Linked DNA regions of Alligator mississippiensis. The protein of the gene in region 1 interacts with the protein of each later gene in a pairwise test. Links are inferred from orthologs where the notes say so. Each region holds a gene or a part of one and is shown in the gene's direction. Other genes may lie near its edges.

Evidence for each region. The genes of interacting proteins can lie anywhere in the genome.
Region 2: the proteins of EXOC8 (region 1) and WASHC1 interact in binary tests that used the Homo sapiens proteins (3 or more experiments, as listed by UniProt). The link is inferred for Alligator mississippiensis from reciprocal best matches to the Homo sapiens genes EXOC8 and WASHC1.

Annotation. Positions count from the first base shown.
Region 1 is NC_081824.1:149,731,561-149,739,504, reverse strand, and holds the start of EXOC8 (exocyst complex component 8), read left to right. Parts: upstream 1-4,936; 5' UTR 4,937-5,151; coding exon 5,152-6,726; intron 6,727-7,619; coding exon 7,620-7,944. Other genes in the region: DNA-dependent metalloprotease SPRTN, read right to left, coding at 236-506, 1,191-1,319, 2,817-2,916, 4,441-4,685. UniProt on the Homo sapiens protein: Component of the exocyst complex involved in the docking of exocytic vesicles with fusion sites on the plasma membrane.
Region 2 is NC_081827.1:115,294,827-115,302,706, reverse strand, and holds the start of WASHC1 (WASH complex subunit 1), read left to right. Parts: upstream 1-4,874; 5' UTR 4,875-4,901; coding exon 4,902-4,980; intron 4,981-4,999; exon of another isoform or gene 5,000-5,113; intron 5,114-7,880. UniProt on the Homo sapiens protein: Acts as a component of the WASH core complex that functions as a nucleation-promoting factor (NPF) at the surface of endosomes, where it recruits and activates the Arp2/3 complex to induce actin polymerization, playing a key role in the fission of tubules that serve as transport intermediates during endosome sorting.

The DNA of each region.
Region 1 (7,944 bases):
AAAGCTGATTTGTTATCTGTAATACCACCAAATAAGAACATCATAGGCAGAGCCAGAAATCTAAATTTTCTTTATCTGGTCCCTGTCAGAGCTAAAGCAAGGATCACTCTGCACAACTGTACCAGCTTTTTAATGCTAGCATAGCACTATCTACTTATTCATCTATTTATGTTCACCTGGATACTATACCAAGTAGGAATAGTTTTGAAGAAGGAAAGCAAAGTAAGTTAAGTACCTTTATCGTCAGATGGTTTGGAGCTTGAAAGTTTTCCTGGCTGGGTTTTTTCCTTGCCTTTTTTAGAATAGTTCTCTGGCTCTTTCACTTTTGTGAATGTGCCTCCACAGGATTCTTGGTGCTCTACCCACCAGAAGTCTCTTGCAGAGGGTGCCCTATTCATTGAACGTTTCACATACCCAAAATAAGGCTTTTTATTTTGACATGGGCCATTGCATCGCCACCAATGTTGGCGATATAAATCCACCTCATCATGGAAGTTGTGATGGATCTAAATGTAAAACAGGAAGTCAAGTCACAATGTTTATTCCCATTTTATAAGAATCATCCGCTATATGTATGTCACCATCTCTACATGCATAGTGTTAATATCATCTCTCAATTCCTTGGTGATGGGCATAAGGAAAATGATCATGCACGACAGGGTTGAAGCAAGGCACAGAGTTCAGCTGCTAACAGCATGCAGCACGCATGGAAGCCATTTTTAACATGAAACAAAGTCTTTCCTCAAAAGTCAGCATCTTTAGATTTAAAAATTCTCGTTAATACTACATAAAGATCATTTATCCAATAATCTCTCAAACAACTTCTTAAAACAAAGCAAACCAGCCTTTCTTTTTCAAAACTGAAGGGCTTTTTCTTCAGAGTTCATAAGGCCACTTCAAACCTAAAAATGAAAATAATCTCTGGAGCCATTCTAACTGAAGAATTGCATGTTCCCAGCCAAATACACAACAGAGTTCAGGCAAGTGCAAAGCCCCACCAACCTCAACCTACATTTCCCTTACGATGCAATGAATACACATCCACCCAAGGTTACAGTTTGGCTACAGAAATGCCTATATATCAGTCATGGTAATTCAGGAATATGTAAATACATAATGCTTGAACTGCCAGATAGACAGACAGAGTTTAAATCTGCTAGATAGCATTTTGTTAACTGTAAAGCACTTACTGTAACATTGGCTCCAGTCAAGCGATTGATGCGACGCATGTGCTTACGGAACTCTGGCCCGTGAGAGTCACGGTCTCGGTCATCGTTAGTAACGAACAGTAGAGCGTGAATCATCTCATGTAATAGAGTCTGAAATAAAAAAGCAACTGCTGATGTTTCTTGAAAAAAAAAGTATATTATTTAAAATATAGCTTATAGGTTGGTTTTCCCATTATTTTTTTATACTTATTTTGGTAATGAATCCTATTTCTATGAATCTACAACTTAAGTATGGGGTCAGGAACATACTACAATACTTCTCTAAACTGCCAAACCCACAAAGTTTCTCTCCGTATGACCCAAAGGGCATTCTAAGGAACCGTACTGTGAGAAACGATATCCAAACTTTGCCTACCTTCCCATGGGTTTTTTTTTTTTTTAAATACTTCACTAGGAAGGAGTGGAGTAGTTGCAAGTAGTAGATACAAACATTTTGCAAAACTTCTTATCACTAGTCTACATCTATGCCTATTTTCTAAGTGTCATAAACCCAAGTTGGTCCCTTAAGCTCCCCATATAAGGAATAAGGAGTTAGGTGCCTCAGAATGGAATTCCGCATAGCCAGTGCACTGAGCAGGCAGACACCAAAGGGTATGACACATGTAATACTTAAACCTATTTAAATAATGCAGTTTAAATCTGAAGCAGATAGGCATAAACCCTCTTAAACCTGTTTAAAGCTGCTTGGAAAACAGATGTTTCATTTGAGGCAGTCCTGATTGACCCAAGTCAAATCCCAGGGTAAGAGAGAAAGTACAGACCTTCCACACTACATTGCTGCTCAGTCACCAGAACAAACAGCCTGACAGGCTTGTCCCTGGAACAACTGGCAACTAACTCACATGAATTACTTTCAACTTAGTTACCACAGCATTGCCCTAGAAAAAAGTGTTTGCCTATCTTGTATCCTATACTTCACAAGTACTTGAAGTGGGACAGAGACTACATTAGGATCTTCTGTTCCATATCTTACATACTTCACAAGTACTTAAATAGGCTAACAAAAGGCAACATCTGTTTACATCCAAATAGTTCAAAGGGGAACCTGGAAAACCAGGGTAAAAAGAGGTCAGGTGTACCCCAGATCCAACTGTCCTGGGCTTTGACTCATAGCAGGTGCAGAACAGTAGTTTACACTCACAGCTTGAATGGCAATTAACTCTCATAAATTCTTAGCAGAGAGGCAAAGAACAGCATGAAGCTTACATTTATAGTCAAACCCCGCATCTTTGCTTTTGGGTAACTGGGCTGTTTGACCTAGAAGTAAAACTGAACTACTTTATTTTGCACTCTAAATGGCAGAGTAAACTTTTAAACAGTTGGAAGGAGCATTTCAAGAGCCAGAAAGCTAATTTGGGGGATTTTTTTGAAAGTTAAGGGAGTCAGAAAAGCATCAGTTTAAATAAAAGTTGTGACTGACAGATTAACAATTTACATGTTTAAACAACTAACAATAAAACACCAAACACAAGGTTCTTAGAAAACCAAAAGCTACTTCACAATCTACAAAGCACTGTGAATAAAGCCTCCCTTGCAAACTATCAGCTATCCTTTAACAGAGATAATAAGCAGTCAGTCTTAAAATACCTCTACAAGGTCCTTCCTTGGTCTTAGCTTTAACAACGGTTCACTTAGGCGGATGGAACATATTCCACCCCTTCCTTCGTAGCTGCACACGCCAGCACAGCTGAAAGAGAAATACAAACAGAACGTACAATTCCCATTTACTTTCATAGCTGGCAGAGCAGAGTTGAGAAGTAGATTTACAAATACTGATCCCTCTTAACATAGCTGAAGTAAGCTGTACTTGAAAAAGAGCTCTCCTTCAGATAACTATTCAACCTTGCTAAACTAAGAATCAAGTCCTTTCAAGTATTAAATCCTTTTACAGTACAGACTAGAAAAGGTCATCTTGGTAAGCACTATCAACCCCCCCCAACAAACAAACAAAAAACAACAATCCATGACCCACAATTTACTTGCTTCCATTTGATAACACTTGATTCAGAGTTAAGAACTTGAGACATACCATTTGTGCATTCAAAGGTGACCTGTTCTGTCTACAAACCAGCACTTTCATTTAAAAAACAACTCAGGCCTTGCACAGAACAGGAAACAGAAGCCCAAACCTGTTCTTTGCAGTGCAGATCTGCTGAGTGTTGCCCTTCGCCGAAATCTACAACTTTCTGCTGCTGCATTTAAAAAATAAATGCACCTCATAAAAACAGAGCAGACAGCTATGGCCCTGCTACAAAGACAGTGCAAGTACCAAAATCTCAAGCCTGACATGCAGTTTGGGAAAGATTTTGTACTTGGACCAAGTTTTACCTTGTGCGGATGTGGAAAACATAATGTCAAAAAAACCCAAAACCCCAAAAACTACTCTAGGTCTTTAAGGGGACCAAAGCAGAGCCAGGTGGCTGCTCCAACTCACCCCTGAGGAGCCAGCACTCAGACACAGCAGTGAGGACAAAGGAGCCAGGTTCCCAACAAAGCCTGGGGCTGCTGCTATTACTGCCAATAGACAGGAGTCCCAAAGCTGAGAAAGCCAGCAGGGAAGAGGCCAGGCATCAGGGCTGGGAGCATGGGCAAAAATAGGATTTGGAGAAGGGGGGTGCAGACACTGAGGTGCATAATTCTCTGGGTAAAAAGAAACTAGAAGCTTTCCCAACAGGCTTGGGGCCTGGGGCTGTGCTGTTCCACTTAACCAGAAGGGAAAAACCAGTACAGCTTCACTGGAACGTGCATCCATTTGCTATATCCCATGTTTTGTATACCCCGCCCCCAACGGAACGAATGAGGCAAAAAAAAACCAGGAGGCGGCATTTCTTTAGCCCCGTCCTCGAGAATTAACTGTCTGTCTCCTTCAGATCCATAACACAAAATCAAGCCAGCTTCAGCATCTATCATGGGATTGATTCCCACACCCAAGTTCACTATCACCTGAGCTCAGGAGGTCAAAACAGGACCATCCACGATTACCTCACCCCACCTGAGGGATGCATGGACGCACTCCAACGAACATTTTGAGCTAGCATTAAACAAATGACACGTGGCTAAAATTGGTTACAAACAGCCTGCCTGCGGGGGCCGTGAAGTGGGAGCTTCAGGTTGCAGCAGGAAGCCTTGCTGGCAAGGCAGGAAAGGGCCCCCGGGGCAGAGAGAGTGCGCGCGCACATATCGGGGTGCAAGCCCTCCCTCCCCCGCGTACAGCGTCATCCGCGAGCTCCACGACACCTCCACGGCCGCCAGCCGCCCCCAGAACAGCTCCTGGTTGAACTGCACGAAGAGGCCGTGCACGTCCGGACTCGGGTCCAGCAGCTCCCAGGACTCGTCCACTACGGAGAGGGGCCGCGCGGGCGGCTCGGGGCGGGCGCCGGCCGCTACCTCCTTCTCTTCTTCCCCCGCCTCCCACTGCGCCTGCAGGTGCAGCGCCATCAGGAAGTCCGCGTCCATGATACCGCGGCAGCCGTTCCATGCGCCCGGCTCTCACGACCGTTGAGGCGCTTGCTGTGCGCAACTGCGCATGCGCAATCCGGCACGTAGCCCCTCCCAGCTCCAACCCCGCCGTTAGTGCATGCGCAATGCAGTCTACACAACCTTCCACCCACCCCTGCCGTTGGCGCATGCGCATCCCTCCCTACCCGCCCCCCTCCGCCTTCAGCACATGCGCATCACCCCACTCACTGTATCGTTGGAAGCACGCCGCTGTGGCACATGCGCACTGCGCAGCCTCCCATTCCTCCGCGTCGCAGGGGAAGAAACGCCATTCTATCTGCGCGTGCTCTGTCAAATCGCCTGTGCCGGGTAGTCGCTCCTTAGTGCGCATGCGCCTAACGTCAAAAGAGCGCGACTATCGTCGCGGCGGGACGCATGCGCGGTGGTAGCGTCTGGCGGCCCGTGGCGGGCGGCGGGTGAGGCCATGGCGCTGGCGCTGGGCGAGGGCGGGCTGGCGGCGGGGGGCGGCGGCAGCAGCAGCAGCAGCAGCAGCGGGCCCGGGAGCAGCCGGCTGCGGCGGCAGCTGGAGTTGGGGAGCTTCGCGGCGGGTGAGTACGTGAAGCAGCTGTCTCAGCAGTCGGACGGCGACCGGGACCTGCAGGAGCACCGGCAGCGCATCCAGGCGCTGAGCGAGGAGACGGCGCAGAGCCTGAAGCGCAACGTCTACCAGAACTACCGGCAGTTCATCGAGACAGCGCGCGAGATCAGCTACCTGGAGAGCGAGATGTACCAGCTCAGCCACATCCTCACCGAGCAGAAGGGCATCATGGAGGCTGTCACCCAGGCCCTGCTGCTGCAGGCCGACCGCGACGACCCCGCGCTGGGTGCCCGCCGTGCCGCCACCGACTCTCGCGTCAACAACCCCTTCCTGCCCCTGTCGGCCAAGGAGGTGGCGGCCAGCGAGGAGGGCCGGCAGCGCACGCTTACCACGCTGCTGGAGAAGGTGGAGGGCTGCCGGGATCTGCTGCCCGAGAGCCCCGGCAAGTACCTGGTGTACAACGGGGACCTGGTGGAGTATGACGCTGACCACATGGCGCAGGTGCAGCGAGTGCACGCCTTCCTCATGAATGACTGCCTGCTGGTGGCCACCTGGTTGCCCAACCGGCGTGGTGCCTACCGCTACGACGCCCTCTACCCGCTGGACGGGCTGGCTGTTGTCAACGTCAAGGACAACCCGCCCATGAAGGACATGTTCAAGCTGCTCATGTTCCCTGAGGGCCGCATCTTCCAGGCTGAGAACGCCAAGATCAAGAAGGAGTGGCTGGAGGTGCTGGAGGAGACCAAGCGGAGCCGCGCCCTGAGCGAGAAGCTGCGGCTGGAGCAGGAGGCTCTGCCGCGAGCAGCCCTGCCCTCTCCAGAGTCATCCAACCCCTTCGAGAAGGATGAGGATGAAGTGGAGCCTCCACCTGAGGAGGAAAAAGTGGATCTGTCCCTGGAGTGGATCCAGGAGCTTCCTGAGGACCTGGATGTCTGCATCGCCCAGAGGGATTTTGAGGGTGCAGTTGACCTGCTGGATAAGCTAAACGAGTATTTGGCAGACAAGCCCATCAGCCAGCCGGTGAGGGAGCTCCGGGCGAAAGTGGATGAGAGAGTTAGGCAGCTCACGGATGTGCTGGTGTTTGAGCTCTCTCCAGATCGCTCACTGCGTGGTGGGCCAAGGGCTACCCGCCGGGCTGTCTCTCAGCTCATTCGCTTGGGTCAATCAACCAAGGCTTGCGAGCTGTTCTTGAAGAACCGGGCGGCTGCTGTGCACACGGCCATCCGTCAGCTGCGCATTGAAGGTGCCACTCTGCTGTACATCCACAAGCTCTGCCACGTGTTTTTCACCAGCCTGCTGGAGACTGCCAGGGAGTTTGAGACAGACTTTGCTGGTAACAGCGGCTGCTACTCCGCCTTCGTTGTGTGGGCACGCTCTGCCATGAAGATGTTTGTAGATGCCTTCAGCAAGCAGGTGTTTGACAGCAAAGAGAGCTTGTCAACTGCTGCTGAATGTGTGAAGGTAAGCACGTATAAGAAAGGCAGCACAGTCCAGTCGATTGAGCAGAAACCTGGAATTCTGCAGCCCTGGATGTCTCGTTCTCTCTCAGCTAACTTACTGTTTTTGGGCAGGAGGTGGTAAAACAGATTCACCTATAGCTTCCCTTCTTTAGTAAAGGGAGGGTGTGGAGGGCTTTGCATTGCCTTTCTTCTGTTTGTGTTTTGCCCCACTATTATCAGAAATGCTGGTTTTGGCCTTACTTAAAAGAGTGGGAGTATTGGAACTTTAGCAAAGAATCCTTTTCTACAAAATATTTATTGGATTGGATTTGAATATGCCTTAACATAGGCTTTCAAGAAAAATACTGAACTCCTTTATTTCCCAGTTGCTAAACTGTGACATCTTTATCATAATTATGTTTCATAGTTGATAGGGTCGGAAGGGACCTGAGCAGATCATCAAGTCTGACTCCCTGCCACGAGCAGGAAAGAATGATGGGATCAAATGAACCCGGGTAGGCGATTTATCTAGCCTCCTTTTGAAGACCCCCAAGTTGGGAGCGAGCACCACTTCCCTTGGAAGTTGGTTCCAGATCCTAGCCGCCATGACTGTGAAGTAATGCCTCCTGATGTCTAGCCTGAATCTACTCTCAATCATTTCTGTAAAACACTACAGACATTTATGATAGACAGGATCTGTATTTCTGTCATTTAAAAAAGTTAGATACATAAGTTAAAGAGAGGCAGAATAAAGTGCAGTGTGTATTCTTTTCCAGACTCGTAATCACTGCCTTATTTTTCAGGTATGCAAATTAGGACTAAGAATTACCTATTTTTATGGGTGTTGGGGTGGTTAAGTAGCTTGTGTCTATGTGGCATATAGATAAGTATTAATAATGATGTTTGTTATTGTAGGTAGCTAAGGAGCACTGTAAGCAGCTTAGTGAGATTGGACTGGACCTTACCTTCATCATTCACACCCTGCTGGTGAAAGACATCAAAGGTGCTCTGCAGAGCTACAAGGATATCATCATTGAGGCCACCAAGCATCGCAACTCTGAAGAGATGTGGAGAAAGATGAACCTGATGACTCCCGAGGCTCTGGGAAAACTTAGAGAGGAAATGAGAAGTTGTGGTGTGGGCAGTTTTGACCAGTACACAGGTGATGACTGCTGGGTCAATCTTAGCTACACTGTGGTTGCTTTTACCAAGCAGACTATGGCCTTCTTGGAGGAAGCAC
Region 2 (7,880 bases), on another chromosome or scaffold:
TGTGATCCCACTATTATGGAAGCATGTACTGAGAAATACTATGCATTAAAGGGAAATGCTACCTATCCAAAACTGATTAGGGAACAGAACTAGGAAGAGCTCCCCATTTATTGTAAGCCATTCTTATGTCTGTTACCGTATGGGGAAAATTAGTGTTGGGCCTGAATCAAAGCCTGAGGTCCAAACATCCCTGACTATCAGGCTAGTTCAGTTCCAAACCTCAGATCTGAAGAAATTTCAAATTGCAGGGAATTCTGCAGTTAAAGCTGATCTGTTTTCTGGCTTTGGCCTGACCCTGTGCAAAGGTGAGAATCAGCTTGTTACAATTTGGCAAGTGGTATTCAACAGATCAGGAGAAACTTGAGTCACCTCCAAAAAATACATGTACCTGCACACACCCAAAGTTCTGCTTACCTTCCTTTTCCACACCTTCTTTTCAGTTGCTGGAGTTCTCTTATTAAAACTTGGTGCAACGTATAACAATAGCACTTGGCACTTTTCAGGCTGAAGATCTCATAGGATACAAGAAAGTAGGACTGAAAGGGAATTTAGTCCAGTACCCTGCTCAAGGAAAATTGTCCCTAACTAAACCATCCCAGCCAAGTGTTGGTGCAATCTACGCTTGAAAATTTCCAAAGATGGAGATTCTTCATGGTCAGAACTCAAAGGTTGATCAATATTATTCATATTTTTCAGCTGAGAAAACAGAAGTATGTATTACTTGCTGAATGTGGCTGTGTTTGCTAAGGGACATTGCAGCACCAGAAAGAACAAATTAAACAAGGTGCTCAGCTATTTGATATTTTTTACCTAGGAAAAAACTTCCTAGATTAAGGGTACAGTTTCACAAAAATGAAAAATTGTCCAAATGAATTGCAAGTGTTGTTTTTTAAACATGAGTTTATGTCTATGATAGAAGTATAAATGAATGATGGATTTCTGTATAGATATCAGTAGTGAGTCAAGCTTACAGGGGGAAAAAGCCCAGTCTATTGTAAGTACTCTGGACTCTGTGAAAGTGTTTAAATATTACTGTAATGGAGACTCCAGCAGACAGACTAAGACCTGTAGATAATTATATAGCGAGAGCTTTGAAAGTACTGAAAAAGCATGGGGAAATCTAAGTGCCCCTTTAGCTTCTCCAGATCAGCCACTTGCGCCCAGTTAGGCTTCTGTTTCTGACAAGCCACAGCAGGCAAAGCATAAGGACAGCCAACTTGGAGAATCAGGCCAAACATCTGGTTTTGTTAAACAGGTTAAGGGCACTCTGCCACTAGCAGTGAGATGGCTGAAAAAGCATGTCACAATGCACTGTGTTAGGTGCTATTTACAGCTCCCCAAATTACAAATAGTAGGCCTGCTCTTCTTGTGTCCTGTGGGTGTCATCTTGTGCAGTAGCTGACTGAACGCCAGCCCAGACATACTCTCTAGCCTACAGACAATGCCCTTTCAGGGATGTGATGCATGGTTTGGCAAATTAGCTAGACCTACCTCCTTGCACTCTAGAAAAAGTAGGCCCTGTTGATTGCACAGGGAGAGGGAGCTCTCTATATCTTACCTATTTTATGAAACAATGGGCAGTACTATGCCCTTAATCAGGGAAAAGAACAATATACTATCCAATTTTTATTTTGTTTACTCAAATTTGCCAATGCGGAGTACTGGCAGGAAGAATGAAGCCTGTAGCTGGATTAATCAGCTCTCTGTACCAGTTTATGTAACTGGGTCCTGTCCTCAGGAGCATTAAACAGTCAAAGAAAATTGTTCTGGAGAGATATGGATTTTTATCCATTGTTTCACTGGCTGAGAGTGATGCCACTCTATCTGCTGACAAATTGTGTGGGTAGAGAGATGAAGTAAGACAGATGTGAGCCCTGTCAGCTTGCTTTTTTAGCTGAATTAAATGCTGGTAAAACAGCTGCTTTTCTCATTTGCCTCAAGATTTTTTTAATGGCCCAGTCCAAACATATCTTCCAGTTCCCTGAGCCTTGTCTCCAGGGGGTAGGTTTTTGATACATAATCAGTAGTGGAGATAAATATATTATTACTTCCTACCTGCCACCAGTGTTTTACTGGGATTATGCCAATCCTGCTACCAGTTCTTAGTAGACCCCAGTCTTACTGCTCTCTTGCCCCCCCCCCCCCCCCCCCCCCCCGGGCATACTGGGGTTCTCAGTCTTCATTTTATCAGCCCAATTCTGTTAATTCTTTCTCTGCCATCTGCCTGCAGCAGGTCTGTTACTACCTTTCTTCTCTCATTCTCTGTGGGGCTGCCCCAACCCAGCACCCACCTCCTCTCTCTTTGCTTTGAATTTCCAGAGTGTATTGAATTGAATTTTTATCTGAGTAATTGTAAAGCACTTGAAGGGCTTTCCATCAGCAGTATATAAATAAAAATGGATCAGAATAGATTGGATTGCTGCTTCTACATCCGCTCCCCTATTCTGTTTCTGACAGGTCTTGACACCCACACACATGCTCCTTGCTCAGATTCTGCTAGGTCTTATTGCTTTCCTTCTCTGCATAGTTTCTGGCAGACTTTTACATTTCTCATAACTTCTTCGTCTCCGAGATTTTCACCCAGTCTCACCCTGTGCCCTATCTCCTTGTCCTTTCAGTACCCTTTAAGCTCTACACAGGTCAGTGGCCTGGTCCCCTCATTAAGACTTCACAGGCACCAGCACTGCACTTAACCTCTCGTGGGCTCATGAAATGTTAGGCTGCTGGCTGCTAATTTGCTTTGCAATTTCATCATATTTAATAATGCTCTCTGCCTTAGCCTGCAACAAATGTTCATGACAATGGTTCCTACCGCAAATGAGTGGAACAGTGTGAAAAATGTGCAGTAAGTAATTTATGTAATGAATTTAGCCTTTTCCCTGTGAATATGCATGAGCAGATCATGATTTCCTTAAATATATTCACAATTTGAAATTATTTGAGTAATCCGTGTGTGTGGGGGGGGGGGTGTTGCTTTCTGTGCATTGGCTTTAAATCTATGCATCAACCATTCTTGGTAGTACTTAATCTTTGCTATTCAAATAGCACTGATTAAGTTGTAACCAGTTAGATAAGACGCATGGAATTGTTTCTGATCCTAGATGTGCATGCAGACACCTCTGGCAGGATGACTTGCACATGGACCCTCAAACTTCATTATGATTAATATTTGCACATACCGCTTTGAGATTCAGTTTTCAAGAATGTTTGTGCCAGCAAACACTGTTTGCTCAGATAGGTTTCCTTTCTGTGTCTATGTGAAAAGGGAGCAAGCATAACCAATGAAAACTCATTAAAATATTTGAACAAATGTTCATCACTTTTAAAAGGCAGTATAATATCACCCAGGTCCATTGGTGGGAGATGAGGCAAAGGCACAAGCCAGATATTCCTTCTTTCTCATCTTTCCCCAAAGCTGAGACAGAGAGAAGCAGAAAGGCATCCAGAAGCAAGGTTGGCAATGTAAACACAAAGGATGGCTATAGGCATGATGACCATATTATTTTAAAGAAAACCAAGTGAAAGAGTGGCATGGTGTGCCAGGCAGGTTGCTGCTGTGCTGGAGCAAGATGGGCAAACTGGAGCAGTGCCCAGCCTGGCCTGCTCCCCTACCTCTAGCTGACCCCCTGCACCTCCAGATGCTGCTCAGGAGCCAAGCAGGGAACGTGTGGGCCGGGTGGTACCTGAGGCAGTCTGCACACCTTGCTCCTGCACAGTAGCAACAATGCCTGCCTACCTTCCTTCTGGACTGCACCGCATGCCCAAGCCTGCAGCAGCGCTGCTGACCTGGGTGGAGGAGGGAGGAAAGGGGTTCCAAAGTACAAGTTCACCCAGGGCACCCTTTTCCCTAAGGCTGGCTCTGCTGCTGTATACTCATGCTCAGTAGAGTCAGCAGAGAAAGAAGCAATCATGTTAGGTGGCCGATTCCAGGACTTTCGTTTCAATTTCACCAACCGGCTGGGATGCCAAGAGGACCTACAAAATACAGCACTGTCCCAGCCAAACTGGGATGTATGGCTACCCTAGTTATAAGGGACGTCCTGTCAAGGTAGAAGCTGTCAGCCTGAGGGTTGCAACCAGGCCAAGGGGACCGTGACCTCCTTCCCTTTCGTTACAGCTAAGCAGAAGGGTGTTACGATAGGGAAGCATGGGCAGGTGACTCTTCTCCACAACAAGAGCTCTGCCAGCAAAACTCCCGAGTTCTGGCTCAAAGCCAGTCTGCGGTGGCACAGCCTCTCTGCAGCACAGAGCGAGGCTTCCGCTGCCACCATGTAGATAGATACTCCTGGACTGGGTACCAGCTATTCCAGAGGTCACGGTGCAAAGCAGAGCTGCACTGTGTGCCATGAGCGTGCAGAGGTGCACAGGCAGTTTGGCAGAACTTTTGCCAGCAGTTGGTATGGCCACGGTGCACCTCGAGGCACGCATCAGCAGCATTCCCAAGTTGTGGAGGAAGGCAGCAGGTGGGACGCGCGGCTCTGGAGCACAGTGTGGTCCTCTCAGGCCCTTCAAGGTGTTAGCACTAGGAGCAGCCATAGCACTTGCTGCATGGGCTCAGTACAGTAAATATTGCCACAAAACCCATAAGACCCTTGCTCCCTGCAGGGGCCAGCTCGTGAATGCTGGCAACACTGCTGGGGGGGGGGGGGGAGGGGGGGCGATGCAGCTGCCCAGGGCAAAGAGCCCCAGCCTGCCCCATGCTCCCACTAGCAAGCTGCCCCCTCCCCTGGCAGAATAGCCCAGCAACCGCCAAGCCGCCGCGTTCCAAATCACGCCTGCGCACTGCGGGACGCTGCCTGCCTGTAGAGGAGGGAACCGTTCTAGAACGAAGCGGGACCTAGGCGCAAACGGAAGTGATGCCAAGTAGGGGCGGAAGTGATGCTTCATTGGGGCGGAAGTGAATGAACGCCGGAGGGGGTAGCTTCCCCGCCGGGTCCTGGGGCGAGCAGCGGGGGAGGGGGCGTGTCCCGCCCGTGGCAGGTGAGGCGCTGCGAGAGGAGGTGCGGCGCTGCGTTCCCCCGGGCGGCTGGGCCCCCTGCGCTGCGGGGGGCGCCCTGGCCCGGCCGCTGCCTGTTGCTGCCGCCGGTGTAAGACCCCGTGGCAGGATGAGCAGGTGTGCACACGTGTGCGCGTGTGCCCCCGCGTGCGCACACGCGCATGTCTGAGCACCCGTGGGTGCGTGTGTGCACGAGCATGTTTGTGGGTATGCGTGGGTGCGTGAGAACATGCACATGTGTGCGAGCATGCGTGGGTTCATGTGTGCACACGCCTGGGTGTGTGGTGGCGCGCATGCCTGTGGGCACTTGTGGGCATACGTCAGGCCCATGTACGGCTGCCCTGGCTCCTTGTTCACGCAGTCATCCTGTGCCCGTGCTCCTTCATGCCACGTAGGTTCATGAAGGGCCAGCTCTCAGGCTGCAGCAGTGACCTTCATGCTAGGAGACCAGTGCCCTGCTTCTGCCTGGGCAGGTGGCGTTGGCGCTCTGCGTCCTGGTCTCTCCCTCTGCAAGCGGGAGGGGTTGAGGGTCTCAGTGCCTGTGCCCCTTGCTCTGATGGAAGAGCGAGGGAGCGATGTGGCAGCAATACTGGGACACTGCAGCGAAGGGAGGATGCCTTCCAAGCTAGCAGGTCCAGGCGGTCTTCAAGGACAGGTGGATGATAACGCTGCCTCAGTGCCGCCTGGGCTCATGCCTGCCTCCAGGCTGGAAGGCTTTTCTTTACAACCCTTGAAACTAGAGTCTCATTCTAGGAAGGGGAGACATAGAGGTTGAGAATGCGAATCCGGTTAAGTGCCTCAGACTGACCCGGTGCCTGGCACCGCTGCATTCAGCAGGCTTTTGGCCTTCTCCCCAGAGCCATAGGCACTATCATCTCCTGCACAGTGATCACATTTCCTTGGGGATAGGGAACATTTTGAAGGGACTTTCCAGCACAAAAGGTGCCACAGAACTAAAACATTACCTCCCTGTTGGATCTGAGGCAAGCAAAGAGCTATGGACAGGGCACTAGGAGTGTATTTAACAAACTGTTTTAAGCTCTAACATGTCTTACATAGAATCAAAATGCCTTCTAGCTGTGATAGACTTGGCATATCTATGATTTCTTTGAGCCTTAGAGATGCCTGGTAATATGAAATAGTGCTAAGATTCATTCAGTGTAACCTGTTTGGTTGGATGACCAATTTTGAACATGCTTTGTTACATCCCATTTTTCATTCCTTAGAAATGAATTGTGAAGTCTACTGTTTTAAACCCTATAGTGGGTGCAATGCGGTGTCACAGCTTTGAGTTGGAGTTTGTGTGTGGGAAGTGAGGCTTTTGCGGAACCCCTGGAATGAGGAAAGCTGAAGGGTATTTGTATTGTGATTTGTGTATGTTCATCATAGTAGAGAAGGAAATCGATCTGAAACAGGTTGTCAGGAATGCAGTCTACCAAGGAAAAGCCCAGAAGGGTGGGAGGTAGAGAGGGACAAGGGAAGGGACTGCAGGCTGTGAGCTAGTTAAGTTGTCATTATCCAGAAAGTCAGATGCTAGTTTGCATTAGCATTGTGATGTATAATTTTCCAGAATAGTTATTCATCTGTATGTCAAGCAGTTGCTCCTAACCAGTCAGCTAATAGGAAGAATGCCACTAGATTATGCAAAACTTAACTTTTATTTCTGCATTGCATCAAAATAATTAATTCTTATTCAACACACACACACACACACACACACACACACGTTACAATACAAATTTTGATGTTAAATGTGCATTGTGCTTAAAGGACTATTTCAAACCATTGACTAAAATACACACTGCTCTTGTCACGGTTAGCTGTGGAGGGGCAATTATTTGTCAAATAAAAATGCATTGGTAATGTTTGTAAAATGAACACAAATGCTGTTGTGGTGAAATACATTTATTGTACTAAAATTCTCTGATGTTCAAAATGAAGAATGAGTCAGCCAACGGTGATAAAATTGCAGTGGTATTGAACCTGGCTGTGTATGCAGAGGGGCACTGCTGACCAGCATAATGAATACTGTAAAAAAAAAAAAAAAAAAAAAAGGGCTGTCGAGTCTTAGTACTAAGCACAGTCCATCATCTCCCTCCTCTCCACGTGCACAAACCTTTCGTGATGAGGTTTTATAAAGTGACTTAAATGCTGAGCACTTTTACAATGCTTGAGCCTTTCCTGGCAGAATAGTTGGTATGTTCAGTGCCGTTATCTCTCCTACAGCACTGCAATTGTTCTTCAAATAGTAAAACTTGTGTACTTTAAGGAAGAATAAGCTGGTTCTCCCAACCCATTTGTCTTTTTGCTGTACCAACCAAGGTTCCCATTGGCGCATGCTGTCATTGTGCTTCACATGATGTAAATGTTCCTCAGCTACAGGCTGGAGTGAGACCACAAGCCCCTAGGCAGACAAAGTTCTTTGGGTAAATCCAATATCTTTTATTAGCCCACTCAAATAGTTGGAAAAATTCTTCTTAGCAAGCTTTTAGGCACAAAAGCCCTTTGTCAGGTTGAGGAAGCGTCTGCCCCTTTCACTTAGACTGCCTGGCAGCCATCATTGGTAATGACTTGGAGTCTTGGTGAAAGTGTCTTGAAAAAAGGGAAACTGAGAGGCTCTGTATCTGTTTCAACTCCTTGAAACATTTGGTCTTCCAAGAGCGCAGGGATTGCTCTGGAACAGACTAGAAATCATTTCCTTGGCCCCCTGCAAGGTCTAGAAGCAAACTAACTTTGGTGTCTCCTTCAAGAAACTTACTGCATTGTCGTGTCCCTTTGCATGGATTTTGTTCTGGTATTACTAGCCTCTCATGCTCTGCTTCAGCTGTTGTGATTTGGAAAGGATGACCGGGGGTCTTTCAGTCTGCTTGATATGATATGTGTT